2 linked regions of the Oreochromis niloticus genome follow. The protein of the gene in region 2 purifies or fractionates together with the protein of the main gene of each other region. This does not show direct contact. Links are inferred from orthologs where the notes say so. Each region holds a gene or a part of one and is shown on either strand. Other genes may lie near its edges.

Region 1 (10,213 bases), on a different chromosome or scaffold from region 2:
CAAGCCTTTTTTAAATTTAAGGCATAGAAAGTACAGCCATTTGTGTAAAAATGTAGATAGTGGAGTAATGTAAAAGTTGTCAGAAAAATAAATAGTAAAACAAAGTACAGATACCTGAAAATTCTACTCAAGTATAGCAGTAAAGTACTTTTTACTTCCCACTACTGATGGGGACCAAGGATGACTACCCCTGGAAAAGGTAAATACAGTGCCTCATCCACAAACACATCCACAAAGAGATGGAGAATGAAAAGATGAGACAGAAACTGGCAGTGGGCAATGGGAAGACTGGGAAGCTGTGATAGTGCACCCCCTAATGGAAGCCTCCGGGCAACACACTGGGTTTGTAAGGAGGACACCTGTGGCTCATTGACCATAGTCCAGAATGGCAGACCCTGGAACCCAGATCTGAAAGCCAAGAGAACTGGACTGGACTGACTTAATCTGGGAAACACAGAAGTGTGGTGTGGTGGTCAGGGGGGTTATGATTAAGTTCGCAACAACGCCACCTAGGAGAATTTCACCCCTAGGAAATATAAAGATGAAGCATTTAAACAAAATAACCAAATGTCTGCACAGCTTCAAAAATGCACCACTGAAGCAGATTGGTTCCATTAAAATATTTAAATACCTTTAGTCCTTTAATACAGATTTTAAAATAATAAAAACCAGTTTTACATCCAAGATGCTGCACAACATAGAGACTGTGGGAAAGGACCCACCACCAAGAAGGTCCCACAGCTACTGGCTTATCTTCAGTCATGAAAATAAAAAGCAAGAATGTTAAAAATCACAAAAATATAATAGGACACTTGACATCAGACTCATACAAGAAAAACTACTAAAATCCACTCCAGGCATACAGTTTTAAAATGTCTTACACACACACACACGCTACAATAAAATACACAAGCCAAAGAGTCATATACACACTCCACAGGTGAACTGTCGCCTGTGCCAGTGACTGTTGATATAACAGGTAATCCTAGCTCAAACACAACAAAAAGGAATTCCCATTTAGCACTCTCTGTGGCGAGTGGAGCAAATCACTAAACAAGCTAGTACAAATAAACAAATGATGCAGGTAAAGTAGCAAGACACACGGACAAGAAGTAACTGTGGCAAAACAACGCAGGCAAGACAGGAGGAGTATAAACAAGACATTAGTTCCTCAAAGCACAGACCACAAAATAGTGGCTGCTGCATCTGCTGTGAATGCCTTCACAGCACTGATCATTTCACACACTTTTTTGTCTCTATCCTGCAACTGCTGGTTCAGCTTTTTAATTTTTTCAGTCACATCCATCAGGAAAGCCAGATCAGCCACTCAGCATCACTTGGTAGTATGGTATCCTCTCCTCTCATCTTACGTTTGCTCAGCACTGGACCTCCGTGTGACTTTTGCACAAATAGCCTGCTGATGGATGATGCAGTGATAGTTCAAACATTTAGGAAAGTCTGGGTCCGCTTTGCCATGTGTAATAAATCTCGAGTGATGTCCTGTCATGGCTGCTGCTCCATCAGTTGTTACAGAAACCAGTTTTTCAATGGAAATCTTTTTTTCCAACAAGTACCGCTTCATTGCATTGTAAATGTCAACTTCCTTGGTTTCCAGTGGCAGCAATGTCAAAAATTCCTCCTTTGTGGAAAAGTCATCACCATGTGTGCACAGCTAGCTGTGCCGTATCACTGTAGTCCACAGACTCAACACGCTGAAGTAAATACCAGGAGCACCTGTTAAGGTCCAAATCTAGCTTTCTCTCTGCATCTGCTGACAGTGTTCAAGCCAAGCTGGACATTAGCGATAGCAGAAAGAATCTCAGTCTTATTTTCGCAATGATTCTGCCATGGTGGCCATTGCCTCTTTAATGATCCCGACATTAATGAAGGGTTTTTTGTGCTTGGTGAGGATGTGCACCACTTTAAATGATGCCTCGGTTGATGCGCTAGCATTCTTTGGCTGTTTAGATTGTTGTTTTTGGAGGATAGTTTTCAGTTCTTTTACCTTTTCTTTGCAGAGGTTGCTTCCCACTGCAAAGTCCTGGGAAAAGTTGCTGTGAACTTTGGTGAAATGCTGCTCCACGTTGCATTTTTTTAGAGACACCAAGGCTCGCGCCACAGATCACACACACATTTGTGGGAAAAAAAGTTGTTTCCCACTCCTCAAGAAAATAAATTTTTTGCCTCTTACTAGCATAACCAAACTCTGCTGCTATCATTGTTGCTAATAGCCTGGCACCTCGTCTGCCTGCTACCTCCATATGGCGTCTAACCGCTTCAATTGCAGACAGCAGCCCGGCACAAACTTTTGATTGACAGTTAGTTGACAAATAATTGTTTCATTTCAAGAGGGGTAGGGGTATCTTTAATTTTGATTGGATGGAAAGCTTGGCCAGTTTCGCCAACCTACAAATTATATTTCTTATTTTCTTGACCACTTTTGTTATTGACCCCTTTGGCAAGCTACTGAAAAAGGCCCCATTCGCAAGTGATGTGTTGGAGACTCCTGCTGTACTCTGAGCCCCTCCCATAGTAACTCTGGTACCGCCTAGTTACACCGTATTCATGTTTACACATTACTGTGCTCATTTTCTATATTACAAACAAAATATGAAGAAATAAGGATTGGTTTCATTATGGGCAAGAATTTTTCAAGTTAGACGTTTTTGGAAATAAACAGACATTTTAAGTTTAATCAAACTAAAACCAAATAATTTTTTATAATCTACAAACGATTAGTTAGCTCAAACAAAGTGGCCTTTCTTGTTTAGACAGTTCATATTGGTTTGCCTGTTGAACACAGCAACTCATTTAAGACTGATTTAAGATTTTCAAATTTATGCCACAGGTGCATCTACTAGGGGCTGAGGGGTAGCGCTGGTTTTTCACTCAGCCACTCAACTTGCTGTGAGCTTTTACCTTTAAACCAAAGTTTTCTTCTAAGTAAGTTGACCTTAAATCTTGTTGTGAGCTGCTGTTTTCAAGGCAAAAAAATAATAATGATCAAGAATTATGTTAAAAAGTTTATTAACTGCAACAATCAACATCAGTGACGAAAATCTACTTTCATATAGTCACTGCATAATACTGATATGATTACTTTGTTGTTAATTTATTCTTTAGTGAACTAAAAAAAAGTTAAATTTGTCTTTGGATATGGAGAACTGAAAGAAATGAAATTAAATGAGTTAACTCAAATAGTTAATTCAAAAAGAATTAGTGGTGGAACACTGTATCCATATTACAGTTATTGTCACCAGAGATGAGAGGTCACCAAGTGAATAGAAGAGAAAACATTAATCAAAAATAATAGTTACATGGAACGACTTAACTGCTCCCCAAAAATGTCTTCCATGATTTCTAAGTAACTGGTTAAAAATCATGTATGTCTAACAACATTCTTAAAATATTACAGATATTCTCCTGTCAACGTTGGCCCATACTGATCTCAGGTCTGCCCCGATTAGCTTTCAGCGCGGTTCCAACCACACGGTTGTCGTATGTTGATGACGTTGAGGTAATGGCCGCTCTCGCTGGGCCGTGCAGGGTGCTTTATTTTCATCGCTACAGCGGCTAAAAATAAAACCGTCTAATATTTATTGCAGACAGTAAAAAGTTTTATCCGCGGGAGAGTGCAGCTGAAAAGGTAGAGGCGCGGTCTTTATAGAGCTTCGTGTCGGCAAGGTGATTAAAAAATGTGTTGTTAGCTCCTAGCACAGTGTACTTGCTCTTTTAGCTTAGCTTCAGGGGAGGCTACATTGTTAACCGTAAGACGGCCAAGTGTACTGGTGCGAACGCTTCGTACTAAACCGGTACTGTCCACTTATTTGTATGGTTAAGCCAAGCGTTTATAATCGCTGAAGAAAACTATCCATAGGTTGGGGACACTTTACTCGTTATTAGCCTTGTCTTCGCGCCGCCAAGTTATGGGCCTTGTTGCGAACTAGCGCGACCCAGCCATTGTAAGTGTTACCAGTGACATTATGCTACAGGGAAACCTGTCTTTATAAACTTGAGCATGTTGTCTAATTATGTATACACATATAGTTGTACCATGGAGCAATATGGAGACTTATATACACGTAAAACTAAATGGTGGTTGTTAGTTAGCGTGTTATAGCTAACGTTTACTTTGCTGGTGAATTAGCAGCGCCGGAAACTATAATTTCATAAAACATATACTGCTGTGACCAACATCTAATTACGTCTCAATCTCAGGAAAGGTGTTATCAAAGTTAATAGAAATTAGTTTTTCTCCGTTCTTTGTGTCAGCAATCACCAAATGAACAAAAACAAGTATTTAGCGTTATGGTGTATGACAGTTATATATTACTATATAAATTAACTGTACCATCTTTCTTTCAGTTGGTAGCAGAATTAACATTTTTTTGTGGTGCATCATTTTAAATTTAATTTTTGATTCTAGACATTTTATTGGTTAATTTTGACTGTTTTTAACTGACTGTTTTTAAATCGATTATCAAATGGCACGTAGCATTAGATTGAACAGTGTTAAATTACTATCAGATTACTGGTGACATACAGTTGTCTTTTCTTTCTTTCTTTCTTTTGACAGATTGCTGTTTTGTTGTTGTTTTTTTTGCACCAGAGTGGATTCACATGGATACTCCTGAAAGCCCTACCCAGTCCCCTCAGTCTCCTGAGGAGGAGGAAAAGGGTCTTTCTGACAGTGAGTTGCTGGAGTCTCCTAATGAAGAGGAGGACAGGGTCATTTCAGACAGCGAGATCCTCAATGAAGAAGGGGACATAGAAGTGATGGAAGGGCATGGAAAACATGTGGAATTAGAGGAAGAGGAGGATGAGGTGGTGCCTGACTTTGTGTCGGAGCCAGAGGATGAGGAACCTTTTGGAGAAATGGGAGAGTTGGGACAGGATGATGAGAGCATTGTGCTTATGGAGGGGAATGAAGACAGTCCTCAGGTGGTGGAGGAGAGGGAAAGAAAGGAGGATGATGAGAGAGTTGTCAGCACTCCATTATCCCCAGACTCTGAGCCAGAAAATGCCAAGAGCCTCAGTGCTGGAAAAGATGGAGAAGACTGGAAGGAAGGATATGATGACTACATAAAAGCTGCCTCTGCAGAATGTGAGGTAGCTGAAGGGGATGATCAGGAGGAGGATTACAAAAACAAAGATGAAGAGGATGGAAGAATAAGAGATGAAGAGACAAGAAGAGCTGCTGTGCTAAGGGAAGTGAAGGATGACTCTGTGTCAGTTTCCCGGGAACTAGACGAACATGAGCTTGATTATGATGAGGAGGTCCCAGAGGAGCCTGGCATCCCTACGCACGAGGAGGAAGATGAGGAAGACACAAAAGTAGAGGGAGATGAAGATGAGGAGGAAAGCGAGGACAAAAGCAGTAAAAAGGAGAAAAAGTCAATCCTTCCACCATCTCCTAAACACAGCGAATCCAGGAGGACAGATGGGTCGAAAGGGCCGGAGAGGATACGCCAGGACTCCTTCAGAGACAAGAAGAAGGATGAGGATGATGGAGAAATTGATGAAGGAGAGATTGATGTAAGTTATTGTAGTTCAGTTGGTAGTAGTGCCGTCTGATTTGCTGAGTGCAGGTAAATTGTGTTGTGTTTGAAAATAAGCCTTTAATCAGGAAGCACTGCTACTGTGTTTTTGTTTTATTGATAAACCTTAAGAACAAATAGCCATTAAACATAAAGAGTGGTGTTAAATCTGAAAAAAAAAAAAATTCCAAGTGGACTGGACCTAATTTGGCTGGATGCTCTTTATGCTACTGGTGAGTGTGTTGAGTGTGTGTTACACTCTCATAATAGAGAAATAAGAATATGAAGCCTTGTAGTCTTAACATTTTCAGAACTCAAAGGTTTTTTCTTTCTTTTTGTGTTTGAGGTCCATATCTTTCTCATGAGTCACGTTTTAGCAGGCTTTCAATGCATGCTCTGTGTGAAGAGCAAAAGAGGGAAAACCAAAAAAAAACGTCCAAATAGAGTTAGTATTTGAGTTAAGTTAGTATTTGATTAATAGTTGACTTATATGTTCTTGCAAAATCTGAATAGAGCTGTGGATTAGAAAGCCCACAATACAAGTCCCTTTGCAATATAATACATATACTGATACGGTAATATCAGGCCAAGATACGGTAAGTTCTTGGCCCTGTAAAACCTATGCACAGATACTGTCAAATAACTAAAACTAGAAATATATTTTTAGTTTTGGATGTTTTATACTAGGGCTGTTCGATATAACGATATATATCGGATGACGATATAAAAATGTCTATCGTTTCATTTTACACTATCGTTTGTTTCGTGGTGTCGCAAAATAAACTGTTTACGGCAATATTTTTTTCACCGTTTTGATGGTCACTGTAGTGGCTATATTAATTTCTTAAAGTTCTCTCTTTCTCTTATATTTAATATAACCACACTACGGACGGACAAGCGCCTGTTTTTATGCGTTGTGGTTAGCAACAACGACGGTAAAACCACCTCGTGTCCGCTTGTTTATGTTCCACATAAACCTTTCACAATAAAGCTCAAGATCCTGTTGAGACTTTTCAAAATAAACTGAATCACGTGAAAGAGCAGATTATTTACGGATGAGAAGTAAAAAAGAGCCGCCAGGTGCTAAAAAATAAACCTTAGACTCAAACGTTAGAATAGGCTTTTCCCCCCAGCACGCCGTGTAATAAATACTCACAAAGAAAACGGCGGCCGTTACAACTTATGTCTAAAAATCTATTGTTGCATGCATCTGTTAAAACACTGGACTTCAGCTACATGACGCGCAGCTGGAAACACTTCCCGCAAGTTGAGCTGCCCGAGATTCACAGAATTTACAGAAAATGTTAAATTTTTGTGATTTATATCGTTGTCAGGACGATAGATGTCTTATATATCTTATATGAGATTTTGGTCATATCGCACAGCCCTATTTTATACACTAGTGTGAAAAAGTATTTTGCCCCCTTTCTGACTTCCTTTCTGATTTCTATGTTTGTCACACTTAAATGTTTCAGATCATCAAACAAATGTAAATGTTACACACTGATAACACAAGTAAACACAAAATTACATTTCTAAATGAAGGTGTTTATTATTAGAGTGGGGGGGATCCAAACCTACATGACCCTGCGTGAAAAGGTGAATACGTTTTGCCAGAGAAAATATCTCTATGATCCCCAAGGCTTTTGGGAAAATACCGCTAACTCTGTTCTTGGAGGACAGTGTTTGGCCATCTGTTTATGACCTCAAGATGAAGCACAATTGGCTTCTGCAGCAAGACAATGATCTAAAACACACCAGCAAGTTCACCTCTGAATGGCTTCAGAAAAACAAAAAGACTTTGGAGCGGCCTAATCAATGTCCTGACCTGAATCTTATTGAGATGCTGTGACCTTTAAAAAGGTGGTTCCTGTTCAAAAATCCTCCAATGTGGCTAAATTACAACAATTCTGCAAAGATGAGTGGGTCAAAATTCCTCCACAGCCCTGCAAGAGACTTATTCCCAATTATCGCAATGGATTTAGCAGCAATCACTTTTTCACACAGGGCCATGTAGGTTTAGATTTTTTTTCCCCCTTAATAATAAAAACCTTCATGTAGAAACTGAATTTTGTGGTTTCTTTTGTTTATCAAATATCTTAATTTGTTTTAATGATCTGAACATTTAAGTGTGACTGACATATAAAACAATAGGAAATAAGCCAGGGGGCAAAGCACTTTTCACACCACAGTATAGGCAGCCACAACAACTTCTGGACAACACATCTGCTCCACCATAGCCCTATGTGCATTTGTAGCCTGCTTCTGCCTTAAGTGGTGAAAAAGGTTTTGCTTTCGGTTTAGTTTTTTGTTTGTTTTGGGTTCTTGTTCTCTGACATGCCTAGGCATGTCTTGTTGTGCGCACTACAGAATGTAAACACAAGGGTTTTAAGGGTGTGAATTCTTAATTCGGTCATATTAGAATTAGGTCATAGTAACTAGTACCAGGTACTTTTTTTGGTATTTACTCAGCCGGGGTTCCAAGCGGTCTGAGCAAGTACTAAAATGTGATGTCATTAGATTGCATGCCACCTATTGGTTGGTCAGTGGCATCACTCAATGAGTCATGAGAGCCTCTCATTCACGAAAATCAAAACCACTATTTTTGAAACCCGGCAACAAGGGAAATCGCTACACAAAAACAACGGCATGGTTCCCTGAGTCTGACAAAAAAAAACCACAGACCAAGCACCATGTATATTGTTTTCTCAGCATCCACCTTTGTTGTAGCATTCGTGTTGCATATTAATTACGTCACAGAATGCTTGCACCATTGCTATGACGAGCATGCACATAAGGTAGTACTGAAATGTAATGGGAAACCAGGAGAGTCGTCGCAAGTTGATCTGAGTAGGTACTGATGGAAAAGGGGCTTTGATGTTTCAAAAAAAATGTTCTGACATTGTTTGGAGGCCGCGTTTCATATAACGGGGGATGTCAGACATGTTGCGCAATGGGCATCCGAAGGTCACATCATGAAGACGTCAGCTGATTGTGTTCGTCGGTCTGTACACCTGACCTGACAAGAAAAAAAAAAAACAGTGTGTTGAAATGCAGCTTGTCAGTGCACCTGATTCATAACGTGTTCTACAAACCCCAACATTACAGCTAACAGGTGGATTTTCCTGTTTCAGTTTAGCTAGCCAACAACGAGGAGGCACTTACTGCTTAAGAGACAGAGTGTAAAAGTGGACAGAATAAAACTGATTGCTGCAGCCAAGAGAAGTGCAAAGGTGGCCACCATTAGATGGCTTTTTAGTCTTAGTGTCCTCTTTTTCCCCACTGAGTTATCGGTTCTGTCAACAGACTGGGCTAACAGGTCTGTTAGCACCAACCAGCCAAGTGATGTCATGTTCTGCCTCTAGTGGAGAGGCAGAATGGGCACTAAAAGGCTTTATCTAATAACTCCGTGGATCAGCAGAATGTCACACACTAGTGATTGTTAGGGCTGGCTATTTTCACTGATTTCTTTAACCGATTCAATTCTGATTCACAAGGCCCCGGTTTGATTCAATTCCACTTTTGACTCAGTCAGAAATATTATGATTATGATCATTTATCTTGGATATGTACTTTTGAAAGAACCCTCTAAACCATGTAAATTAAATACATTTATCTCCAAATTAGGAAAAACGGATCCTAAAGCAGTTACAGTCTTGGGACTTATTATTTAACCCGTAAAGCCCCAGGGGTTTTTCTGAGGTTCCCGCTGGAAAATGACATGCCCAAAGTGAATTGACTATTTGTCTGCAATTACAAACTTTGTGTAAACCAACTAGGTATAAAAACAATGCTGACACTTGTGAGACTTCATCAGAGGTGTAAGCATCACAGCAGATGCCTTTGTGTCAAAGTTAACAGAGGCTAAAACCCAGAAAAATATAACGGAGTTTTTCCTGGCCTGATCTTTTATAGCACATAACCCCCTTGAAAATATGCTGCAAAATTCAGAGTTCGCAATGACGAAACCTGCATTTTTGGATTCTGTGATGAGATGTTGGCTTTCAGCACCCGGTGGTGTGTGCGTGCCATCGAGTGAACAAGCTGCGTGTTTACATCTTTGTGTAGAATCTGTCTATCTGCTCTTTAATTGTTTTCTATTTTTAGCTCTTTGGTGGTTGTTGAAATAGTTTTGTGAGCTTTTAGCTGAGATTCTGATATTTCTGGCAAAATACATTTATTTAAAAAAATCGATTTCAGGATTTGATCGATATTGGATTATTCAAATTAAAATTGATTTGAATTAGGAAATCTTTTTATTTATTTATTTTAAACCCATCCCTAGTGATTGTTCCTCATTAGACATTTAAAACAATTTCTACTTTGCACTTGAAATACAAATAAGATACACTTCACAACACTAGTTCTAGCCAAGTTAATAGTTTGGATACAGTGATGTGTTGTGAAGTGTCATGATTTGGCTTGTGTATGTGTATGCAGGATGATGATCTGGAGGAGGGGGAGGTCAAAGATCCTTCAGACAGGAAGATCCGACCACGTCCCATCTGCAGGTTTTTCATTAAAGGTAGGTGGTGAACAGCAGATGGAGTGCCATAGTAAAGTATTTACCTTGATCCTTTTTACTTTTTCACATGGGGCATATTTGATATAGAGTGGTCCCTCGCTATAACGCGGTTCACCTTTCACGGTCTCTGTGTTTTGCGGATTTTTTGGGG
Region 2 (10,213 bases):
TCAAAAACCCTGGGTCAACGACCCAGGCCTCCTAACATACTGAAATTAACAAGGATTAAATGGCCTGAATTCATCGTATGCATAAAGCCTTAATGAATCAAGTCTTAATGAGTAACCATAAAACTGAAAGGCAGGGTACGGCTTATGTCTGGAACGAGCACATTAATAATGTAGATGATATATGACACAACAATTAATTTTAAATTATAGAAACACTTCAAGGAACATGGTATTGATGAGTGTTGTTCAATAGAACATAAGCTAACCCCACAGCATTTTACAGTGACACAGTATGTTTTGTATACATTTTTCAAAGGAATCATCTTGGATAAGAGTTATAGAACCCTAAAGACACCGAATCCAGCAAAATATATTGGATTAAATTTATTTCTTCTAACAGTATCAAATCGTTTCCTTCATACACAGTCTCTTGTTTCCAGAGCTCAAAGGCAAGTGGACAATTATCTAAAAGCAGTTTTATGGGCAAGTTGGACCTGTTCCCTTATTACATCGTGGCAAACTTGGCAGATTAAATATAAACACTTGTTTCCAAGTGTTTGGCATTTGGTAGCTTTTCAAGAGGTTGATGCAGGTGAAGAAGGCTGAATGAACCTATCAGAGAGATAGCAAAAGCTTGTTTTGCAAAGTCAACATTCTGGTGAATTCTGATGAAGTTCTGGTCAGCTCAGCAACACCAAAGAGACCTGAAAGGCCATAGAAGACCACTAAAGTGGGAGGCAGTGCCTTCAGGTTTCATGGTTTCAAAGACAATTTCTCTACTTTCAAGATAAGGCTTAAAACTTTCCTTTTTGATAAAGCATGCAATTAGGGCTGGATCAGGTGACCATGAATCCTCCTTTTAGTATGCTGCAATAGGTCTAGGCTGCTGGGGGCTTCCTGTAATGCACTGAGTGTTTCTTCCTCACTCACTCTGGCTCTCTTCCACTGTATGTCTTTTGTCCTGTCTTTCTCCCCTATATTTCTCACGCTATCCATTAAATTGAATTGAACTGAAGTGAATACAGAGGGAAAACTATAAAAAATGTTGAATAAGTAATGATGTGTTATAATTGTGTGTTATACGTAGAGAATGAGAATGAAAATCCTGATCAGAAAAAGGTCAGGGGATAAATATGTCTGTGAAGGTTCTCAGTCATCCAGGTCATCGTGGTCAAAGGAATTTGCAAAGAAAAGCGTCTGGACTTCTTTGAGTTGCTTGAAGACGTTTTTTGGACAGAGAGGACAGATGGTTTGAAAGAGGAGTGAAAGAGGCCATCTATGTCCACTGTGAGCGACCATCTTTGAACAGAGGTGGTGGTTTACGACACCAACTGTCTGCCATCTATAATCCAGTTTTGAGTTCCCTCCCCAGACGCCTTAACGCCCACTCACATCCTGGGCCATCTGACCTCAAGAATTCACATGACAAGGTGGGGCCAGGTTTCACAATGAGCTCACCCGAAACCCTGGCTGATTAGGTCCCACACCCGCTTTCACACCTTGGCTCATGTGATTAGAGGATCACCAGGGGGTCCTTTGTCCCTCCTTGGGGGGATACTCCCACTGGTTTTAAATCTGGAACTCTCGGCCATTTGACCTTAGAACTGAAGAAGCTTCTCGGATGAGAGGTGAAACGTCTTCAAGCAACTCAAACAAGTCCAGACGCTTTTCTTTGCAAATTCCTTTGGTTAGGGGATAAATTTACATGTATAAGACCTACAGTCCATTTATTAACCATATTCTCCAATGCATTTGCAGTATTAGTTTTTCACTTTTATCTCCATTTCTTGATTATTCCTCTTGCATATGTGTTGTAGGTTTGGGTCTATGAAAACCATGGCTGGTGTGGGCTGAAATAATCTTTCCCTTTAAATTATGTGTAAACATACTATCAAAGCAGAAGATTTTCTAAACGGCAAACACTACAAACAGTGTGAAAGATGGAAAACTAAGCATTCTGGGGTGCAAACCTCCACTAAGGCAGCTCACTCTCTGGGCATAAACATTAAACTAGGAAAGGTAATAGATAATAGGTATAATAATAGGTAAATAACTGGAAATTAATAACTTGAACTTATTAAATAGCATTTGACATTACTTTTTCTAAATATATAACACATTTTAGGGTCAACTTGAAAGAAAGACAGATATGGAACGTAATAGTGAGCTCAAATATAAAATGTGACACATTTGGATGCAAACTATAATGTGATGTTTAAAATCCTCATATACCAGTAACATTTCCCAAATGTTACCAGTACAAACAAAGGCAGCATAAAAGACATTTTATGAATGTTTGACTTTATTTGACCTTAAAGAAAATGTGAGAGATCCAAAGTAATGTGATATTTAGAATCCCCATATATCATTCCCTTTATGCCTATATGTGGTCAGTAGAAAGAATAGCAGTAAGAAACATAGTTTTAAATAGCTCTATATAGCATTATTATCACGTTGACCTTCAGATCAATCTATTGACCTTGAAGATAAGGTCAGAGGTCAAATGTGACATGATATTTTAAATCGTTCTATATGTTGACAACACACACCGCACTTTTAAGAATTATAGTTTCTAAGTTTTAAGGATTTTTGTCAATTTTTGACCAAAAAATCATTAATTTGACCTTGAAGACCTTGGAGGATGTAAGCCAAATTTGAATGGGTTGGTAACGTGACCCCAGTATGCACCCCTAAAAAGTTTGATCAAAAGTCGTCTTGATGCATTCTCAATCATCCAGGAAAATAAATCTCCAAAAGTTGAATCTGTTCATCTGGACGTAGTGTTTTGTGGGAGAAACGTTTCATCACTCATCCAAGTGACTTCTTCAGTCTCAGCTGACTGCAGGTTTCCCCAACCCTTATAAACAGTACATTTGCATGATGACTGAAACCAGGCCACTGAAGGAACAATGGGCTGTGAGGTCAGTTCCTTAATCATAATTATGCAAATTCCCATGACCATTGATCAACAATCACTGACCACTGTTCTTTGATCAGTGGGTTTTGGTCAGTGATTGTTGATCAGTGGTCATGGGAATTTGCATAATTATGATTAATGATGATCAACAATCACTGACCAAAACCCACTGATCAAAGACCACTGATCAAAGACCACTGATCAATGGCTATGAGTACCATTCACAGAGAGTTGAGGAATGGCTGCAATCACAGCATTGTAAGATGGCGAAAGATGTACCCTTAGGCCCCCTCCTTGATTCAGAGATGGTCTTTCCCTTTTCACGTAAATGGCCTCCTTGACTCCGCGCTCAAACCAGCGTTCTTCCCTGTCCAGGATGTGTACATCCTCATCATTGAAAGAGTGTCCACTGGCCTGTAGGTGTAAATAGACTGCAGAGTCCTGGCCTGACGAGGTCGCTCTTCTGTGCTGTGCCATCCTTTTCACCAGAGGTTGTTTGGTTTCCCCGATGTATAAATCCTGGCAATCCTCCTGGCACTTAACAGCGTACACTATGTTACTCTGTTTGTGTCGGGGGACCCGATCCTTGGGGTGGACCAATTTTTGGCGCAGCGTATTTTGGGGTTATACCTACAGGCCAGTGGACACTCTTTCAATGATGTACACATCCTGGACAGGGAAGAACGCTGGTTTGAGCGCGGAGTCAAGGAGGCCATTTACGTGAAAAGGGAAAGACCATCTCTGAATCGAGGAGGAGGCCTAAGGGTACATCTTTCGCCATCTTACAATGCTGTGATTGCAGCCATTCCTCAACTCTCTGTGAATGGTACTCATGGCCATTGATCAGTGGTCTTTGATCAGTGGGTTTTGGTCAGTGATTGTTGATCAATGGTCATGGGAATTTGCATAATTATGATTAAGGAACTGACCTCACAGCCCATTGTTCCTTCAGTGGGCTGGTTTCAGTCATTATGCAAATGTACTGTTTATAAGGGTTGGGGAAACCTGCAGTCAGTTGAGACTGAAGAAGTCACTTGGATGAGTGACGAAACGTTTCTCCCACAAAACGCTACGTCCAGATGAACAGATTCAACTTTTGGAGATTTATTTTCCTGGACAACCAAAAAGAATGACACGCACGTAAACTCTACCAGGGCGGAGGTGATAAATTGTGGCTTACCCTCCAAACCAGTTGGTGGCGCTAATTCCATGTTTAGTTGTACACCATTTCCAAGCGAAGAACAAGAAGACGTGAAGGCTACGGAGAAAGAGGGGGACGAACGAGACCATCATACAAACTATTGTTAAGGTATTAGCGTAATTTATTGACTTTTCCTCAGTTATATCAGTTGGTCTGTTATTTAGAATAAGACAGGTCTGTAGAATTAGACCGACGGGTAATTCAGTTTATTTAATTTAATTTAATTTATTTCATTTTATTTTTAGCTAACTCACACAGCTAGCGTAGTGGCTAACGATACATGGCTGGATTATCGAGGGTCCTAACTCGCCCTGAAACACGAATTTACAGGTTTTGTTTCGACTGAAAGACTCAAACCTGTATGTCCGGATAGCTAATAATTTTGATCTCGTTTTTTTTGTAAATTTTGTACATCCTAGTCTGATGATATCAATGATAGCTATTATGCAAGACAAAGGAATCACTTTACGGCAAGTTACGCACGTCGTCTGTGACAGACCATCTGCATTTCCTTGTTCACGGTCCCCCTTGTTTGAATGACTGCCGTCACCAAAATCCTTTTGAATTAGAAGGTCAAATATTAATAGTCACTTGTTGTAAGTACCGTCCCGGTCTCCATGTGGCAACCGCACATACTGAATACAGACTAAAGGAAACAGTTTCCCTGGTTTATAATGAGAACAATCTTCAACGAGCACTTTGCGGACATGGTTTACTGACTTGTCACACTAAATCAATGCACATGTGTTTTGAGTTGTTGTGTTATATCATAGCAGTTTCTTCTTGGGAGATGTAAATCATAAACTTTGGCTTTGCACTTTGCACTTATCAGGTCTTAATATCAAAAGTAAAGCCTTCCTTAAAACGATTCTGCTTGTAGCCAGCTTAATAGTAATCACTGGATACTACACGTCATCTGGATTTTCTTTCTTCATGCAGATGGGAGACAGTGATGATGACCATGATCGCAGGAGAAGGGACAAATTCAGACGGGAGAGAAGTGACTATGACCGTTCAAGAGAGAGAGAGGACCGGCGCAGAGATGACTGGAATGACAGGTAAGAAAGAGAGACGCTATTGGGCACAAGCCAGATTCAGTGAAACCTGATACAGCCAAATCATATTCGGATGAACAGCTAAATGCTATTAAATGGTAGCTCTTTGCTGCTCTTACACTGAGTAAAGTGGATATTAAAGATAGACTTGTGTGTTTCTTACCTTTCTTTCTTTCCTCATGTTTTCTCTCCTTCCTCTGATTGTGATCATTGGCCCAGGGAGTGGGATAGAGGCAGGGAGCGGCGAAGTCGTGGAGAGTACCGGGATTATGATAGAGGTCGAAGGGAGAGATTTACCCCACCCAGACACGACATGAGTCCCCAGCAGAAACGCATGAGAAGAGACTGGTAGGATTTGCAATGTTACTAATTCACAATCTCTATAACCATCTCTTATTTTACTTAAAGCCCCTTATCCGTTCCTGGCAGGGATGACCATGGTGGAGACCCCTACCGTGGGGGGTATGACTTGGGTTATGGTGGTGGTGGAGGAGGGCCCAGCTATGGACCACCACAACATTGGGGCCATCCCGACATGCACCTCATGCAGCCTCATCAGGGCATCCCCATTCAGGCCAGGTAATTAATTTAAGTTCAGTTTTGAAGTTAAATGTTACTTTACATATCTTTAAAGATGTTTTTAATGTTGTTACCTCAGATATGTCTTTTTGCCAACTAGCTTCTTCCAACATCTCTCTCTTTCATTAGGCTTGGTAACATCCACGACTTGGACTTAGGTCCTCCCCCTCCAATAATGAAGAGCTTTAAGGAGTTTCTGCTGTCCTTAGATGATTCTGTGGATGAGACTGAGGCAGTCAAACGCTACAATGAGTACAAGATCGACTTCCGGCGGCAGCAGATGCAGGACTTCTTTTTGGCTCATAAAGATGAAGAGTGGTACGATCTTAGATGCCTTTCCTACATAAGCCCTTATCAAGAATATAATTTCTTTATTATAGTCGTAATAGAATTATTGCATTGACAGATCAATTAGCATTACTTAAGCTGTTATTTTCTGTTGTCCTCACCAAATGTGATTGGCTCTTTATTTCTTTATTGGCCTTTTAATCATTTTAGATTTAATTGCTATTTAAAGGCAAATATAATAGGCTGAGCCTGGTCCTTTTGGTGGGTTTATCTTAGAATTCTATTCAAAAATTCAGATGATGTTTTTATTTGTAATTGATGGCTAATGAAATTGGTACATTAAAACAAGGTGCATGTATATGCCATCTCCGTTATGTTCTTGTTAAACTCACAAATCAAAAGGAGTGGAAAGGCATTTGGTATGACAGTTTCACCCAGTACGAGGACCAGGCACACACAGTTAATTTATTTCTAATGACTGTTGCTACAGTACTTGTTCACAAAATAAGAAAATCAACCCAATTTCAACATTAGTTTATATTTGTTATAAATGTATTTTAGGAGTTTAAATTTTTTTATCCATAAATATCCATAGTTACACTTTTGTGTAACTGAATTGTTTAAAGTCATCATTTGGTGCAATAACGTGCTTTGACCAAAACGTCTGTGTTCTTTGGGTTGATTGTCTTATTTGGAGTAACACAAGATTCATAATTGTGTGCTGTCTCTTAATGCTTTGACACTTGTTTCACAGGTATCATGCAAAATTATTCTGTTTTGTCATAACCCATTTTTCTTCCCTTCATTTCAACTACCACGTTGACGACGATTTTTTTCAAGATGAGAAAAAGTGGAGTTCATCCGCAAGAATCGGTCTTAGACAGACAGGGCATGCACTGCGCACAATGCAGTTGCTCTTAGACACACAGTAACAGGGATTTTAGATAGACAGCCATGTCCGCACACGGAGAATTTTTTTCTTGTTTTATCCTTTTTCGACACAATTTTCTTTTTATATTCGGATCAAATCCCAAAACCGAATTTGTGTGCATACAGACACACCATTGGGGTGAAGTGGAGCGCACTTTCACAGAAGAGACCCCGCTCTCTGTATTTATTTGTTATTAAACTGGCAGAACAAAAGGTAACTGTAGTCCACTTAATGCTAACATTTTTAATGTGACATTTTGAATATGTAAATGTTTAATTTGATCATCTCTGTTGTGTTTTTTTTTTCCTGCCTTTTTTTTTCTTTCTTTTTTGGTGAGTTAATCTCAAATCTTCTAACATTGTGGAGTAATTGGCTATGAAGACCACAGTCAAAACTTGGAATTACAGAAAGATATAATAACTAGTGTATACTGAACACAAATTACATTCTTTTCATATGCTAGATTGCTTATTGAATTGGAGTTGTTTAACATTTAAAAAAAAACCTATTCAGAATATATATTCTGTTAAAAATGTGATTAGAAGAAACTGAAAAAAGTGTAAAATACACAGATGTAACGTAGGCTTGTAATATTTATTTGTTCTCTAACTTTTGCTTCCTGCTCATCCCAACCCCCATCATTCTCTCCCCAATCTGTTGTGGACGCCCAACTCTGGACACAGGTTCCGATCCAAGTACCACCCTGACGAGGCCAGACGACTTAAGGCAGAGGCCCAGAGGGCTCTGCACAACCGTCTGAATGTGTTCGTGTTCCTAATGGAGAATGGCTGGTTTGATAATGTCTCCCTGGACATTGAACAGACCCCAGCCATCATCAAAGTTCTGGATGCAGGTGAGGTCTCAAACAACTTAAAGAGCATTGTTGACCTGTGGAGTTTTCATTTGTATCTACAATTAAGTCTGCTTTTGCAATAAAAGCAAAAATGATGTGACCTAATTGCATGGATGGTACTTAGAAGAGTACTCCTATGGCTGAACCATAACGTTCTTTCTGCATTTCAGCTGTGATTAAAATGGAAGGGGGGACAGACCATGATCTTCGCATCTTGGACCTGCCATCTGAAGAGGAAGAAGACCGAGAGAAGTCAGCATCTATTTCCAGGGGCACTGAAGTTCCCAAGAGAGAAGACCTCAAAGCTTTGGGTAGTGACTGCAAACCAGTGGAGAAAGACAGAAATGAGAAGGTATGTGTGCTCTGTTAGACAGGCGGTAGAAATTTCATGAGGCTCTAGGGCTGTGCGATATGACCAAAATCTCATATCCCGATATAAGACATCTATCGTCCGATAACGATATAAATCACAAAAATGTAACATTTTCTGTAAATTCTGTGAATGTCGCGCAGCTCGACTTGCGTGAAGTGTTTCCAGCTGGGCGTCGCGTACCTGGAGTCGAGTGTTTTAACTGATGCATGAAACGATACATTTTTAGACATAGGTTGTAACGGCTGCCGTTTTCTTTGTGAGTATTTATTACACGGCGTGCTGCGGGGAAAAGCCTGTTCTAACGTTTGAGTCTAAGGTTTATTTTTTAGCACCTGACGGCTCTTTTTTGCTTCTCATCCGTAAATACTCTGCAAGTCTGCATCTTTCACGTGATTCAGTTTATTTTGAAAAGTCTCAACAGGATCTTGAGCTTTATTGTGAAAGGTTTATGTGGAAAATAAACAAGCGGACACGAGGTGGTTTTACCGTCGTTGTTGCTAACCACAACGCATAAAAACAAGTGCTTGTCCGGCTGTAGTGTGGTTATATTAAATATAAGAGAAAGAGAGAACTTTAGGAAATTAATTTAGCCACTACAGTGACCATCAAAATAATGAAAAAATATTGCCGTAAACAGTTTATTTTGCGACACCACGAAACAAACGATAGCGTAAAATGAAACGATAGACGTTTTTATATCGTCATCCGATATATATCGTTATATCGAACAGCCCTATGAGGCTCTGTTGATGACAATGAACTGTGCCACAGGAGGGTAGTGACTCAGCCAGCACAGAGAGAGCTGCCACAGCAGAAGGAGAGAATGTAAAAGAGGAGGCAGAGAAAGAACCAGCAAAAGAAATTCCTGAACCTAAGAAAGTAAGTGTTCCTTCTGATACTGAATTAGTTCTTACCAAGAGAAACAAATAAACTGAACTGGCCTGATTGTTTTTCAATTTGATTGTTTAGCCAAGAAGAAAGAGGAAGCGCAGCGGGGACAGCGATGATGAAGCCAGCGCTTCGGAGAGTGACTCGGACTCAGATTCAGACTCCAACTCTAACTGCTCTGACAAACCAGTGAAGAAGGAAGAGGAAGACAAGGATGAGGAGGAAGAGGAAGGTGAAGGTGAGAAATCATGCCTGTAGTGTCTGGTTATACATTTTCAGGAGTATAATATGTATCTTTCTGTAATTTAGCACTCATCAAATAAATCTCCCTTTCCTGTCTAATTATCCAGAGGAGAAACCTAAGGAGAACTCTGAGGAGGACAAGAAGGAAGAGAAAAAGCCCAAAGATGACTCTCCTAGACCACGGCCTCTCCACAGAACTTGCTCTCTGTTCATGAGAAGCATCGCTCCCACCATCTCCAAGGCTGAGATTATTGCTGTGAGTTGTATAAAAGAAGCGTACCTAACAGATCCAGATCTTTAAGTGCACTAAACAGATACGTGTCCTGGTTTAAACTGAGCATCTGTGTTCTTATTTGTTGTTTTTTTTCCTTCTCAGCTGTGTCGACGTTACCCTGGGTTTCTGCGTGTTTGCTTGTCTGATCCCCATCCAGAGCGCAGGTATGAAAAATGAAAACTTGGCATTATTTGCTACACTAAAGTGTAATTGGTTGGATTAGTGTAGTCACTCATGACTTTGACATGAAACCTGCGCCGTTTCAGGTTTTTCAGACGTTGCTGGGTGACTTTTGACCGTAGCGTCAACATCAAAGAAGTCTGTTGGAACCTTCAGAACATTCGGGTAAGTGCACCAATCATAAGTGTTGGCACTGCTATAACTTTGTGTTGCAGGTGGTTTTAGAGATGCAGAGATCTTCCAAATTTCAGCTGAGGCCTTTACCACTCTGTTTTTACCCTTCACAGCTGCGAGACTGTGAACTGGCACCGGGGGTGAACAGGGACCTGGCTCGGAGGGTGCGTAATGTTAATGGCATTACTCAGCACAAGCAGATTCTCCGCAATGACATCAAGCTGGCTGCCAAGCTCATTCATGCCTTGGATGAGAAA

What was found. The genes of interacting proteins can lie anywhere in the genome.
Region 1: the proteins of srrt (region 2) and zc3h18 purify together in Homo sapiens (co-immunoprecipitation; 4 studies listed by BioGRID and IntAct, counting the BioPlex papers as one, with this or other methods). This does not show direct contact. The link is inferred for Oreochromis niloticus from reciprocal best matches to the Homo sapiens genes SRRT and ZC3H18.

Annotation. Positions count from the first base shown.
Region 1 is NC_031972.2:38,975,552-38,985,764, reverse strand, and holds the start of zc3h18 (zinc finger CCCH domain-containing protein 18), read left to right. Parts: upstream 1-3,507; 5' UTR 3,508-3,646; exon of another isoform or gene 3,647-3,962; intron 3,963-4,576; 5' UTR 4,577-4,620; coding exon 4,621-5,535; intron 5,536-9,977; coding exon 9,978-10,062; intron 10,063-10,213.
Region 2 is NC_031975.2:11,167,639-11,177,851, forward strand, and holds the start of srrt (serrate RNA effector molecule homolog), read left to right. Parts: upstream 1-4,070; 5' UTR 4,071-4,226; intron 4,227-5,057; coding exon 5,058-5,176; intron 5,177-5,392; coding exon 5,393-5,521; intron 5,522-5,602; coding exon 5,603-5,752; intron 5,753-5,881; coding exon 5,882-6,070; intron 6,071-7,654; coding exon 7,655-7,824; intron 7,825-7,994; coding exon 7,995-8,176; intron 8,177-8,968; coding exon 8,969-9,076; intron 9,077-9,166; coding exon 9,167-9,323; intron 9,324-9,435; coding exon 9,436-9,584; intron 9,585-9,704; coding exon 9,705-9,766; intron 9,767-9,868; coding exon 9,869-9,947; intron 9,948-10,069; coding exon 10,070-10,213. UniProt on the Homo sapiens protein: Acts as a mediator between the cap-binding complex (CBC) and the primary microRNAs (miRNAs) processing machinery during cell proliferation.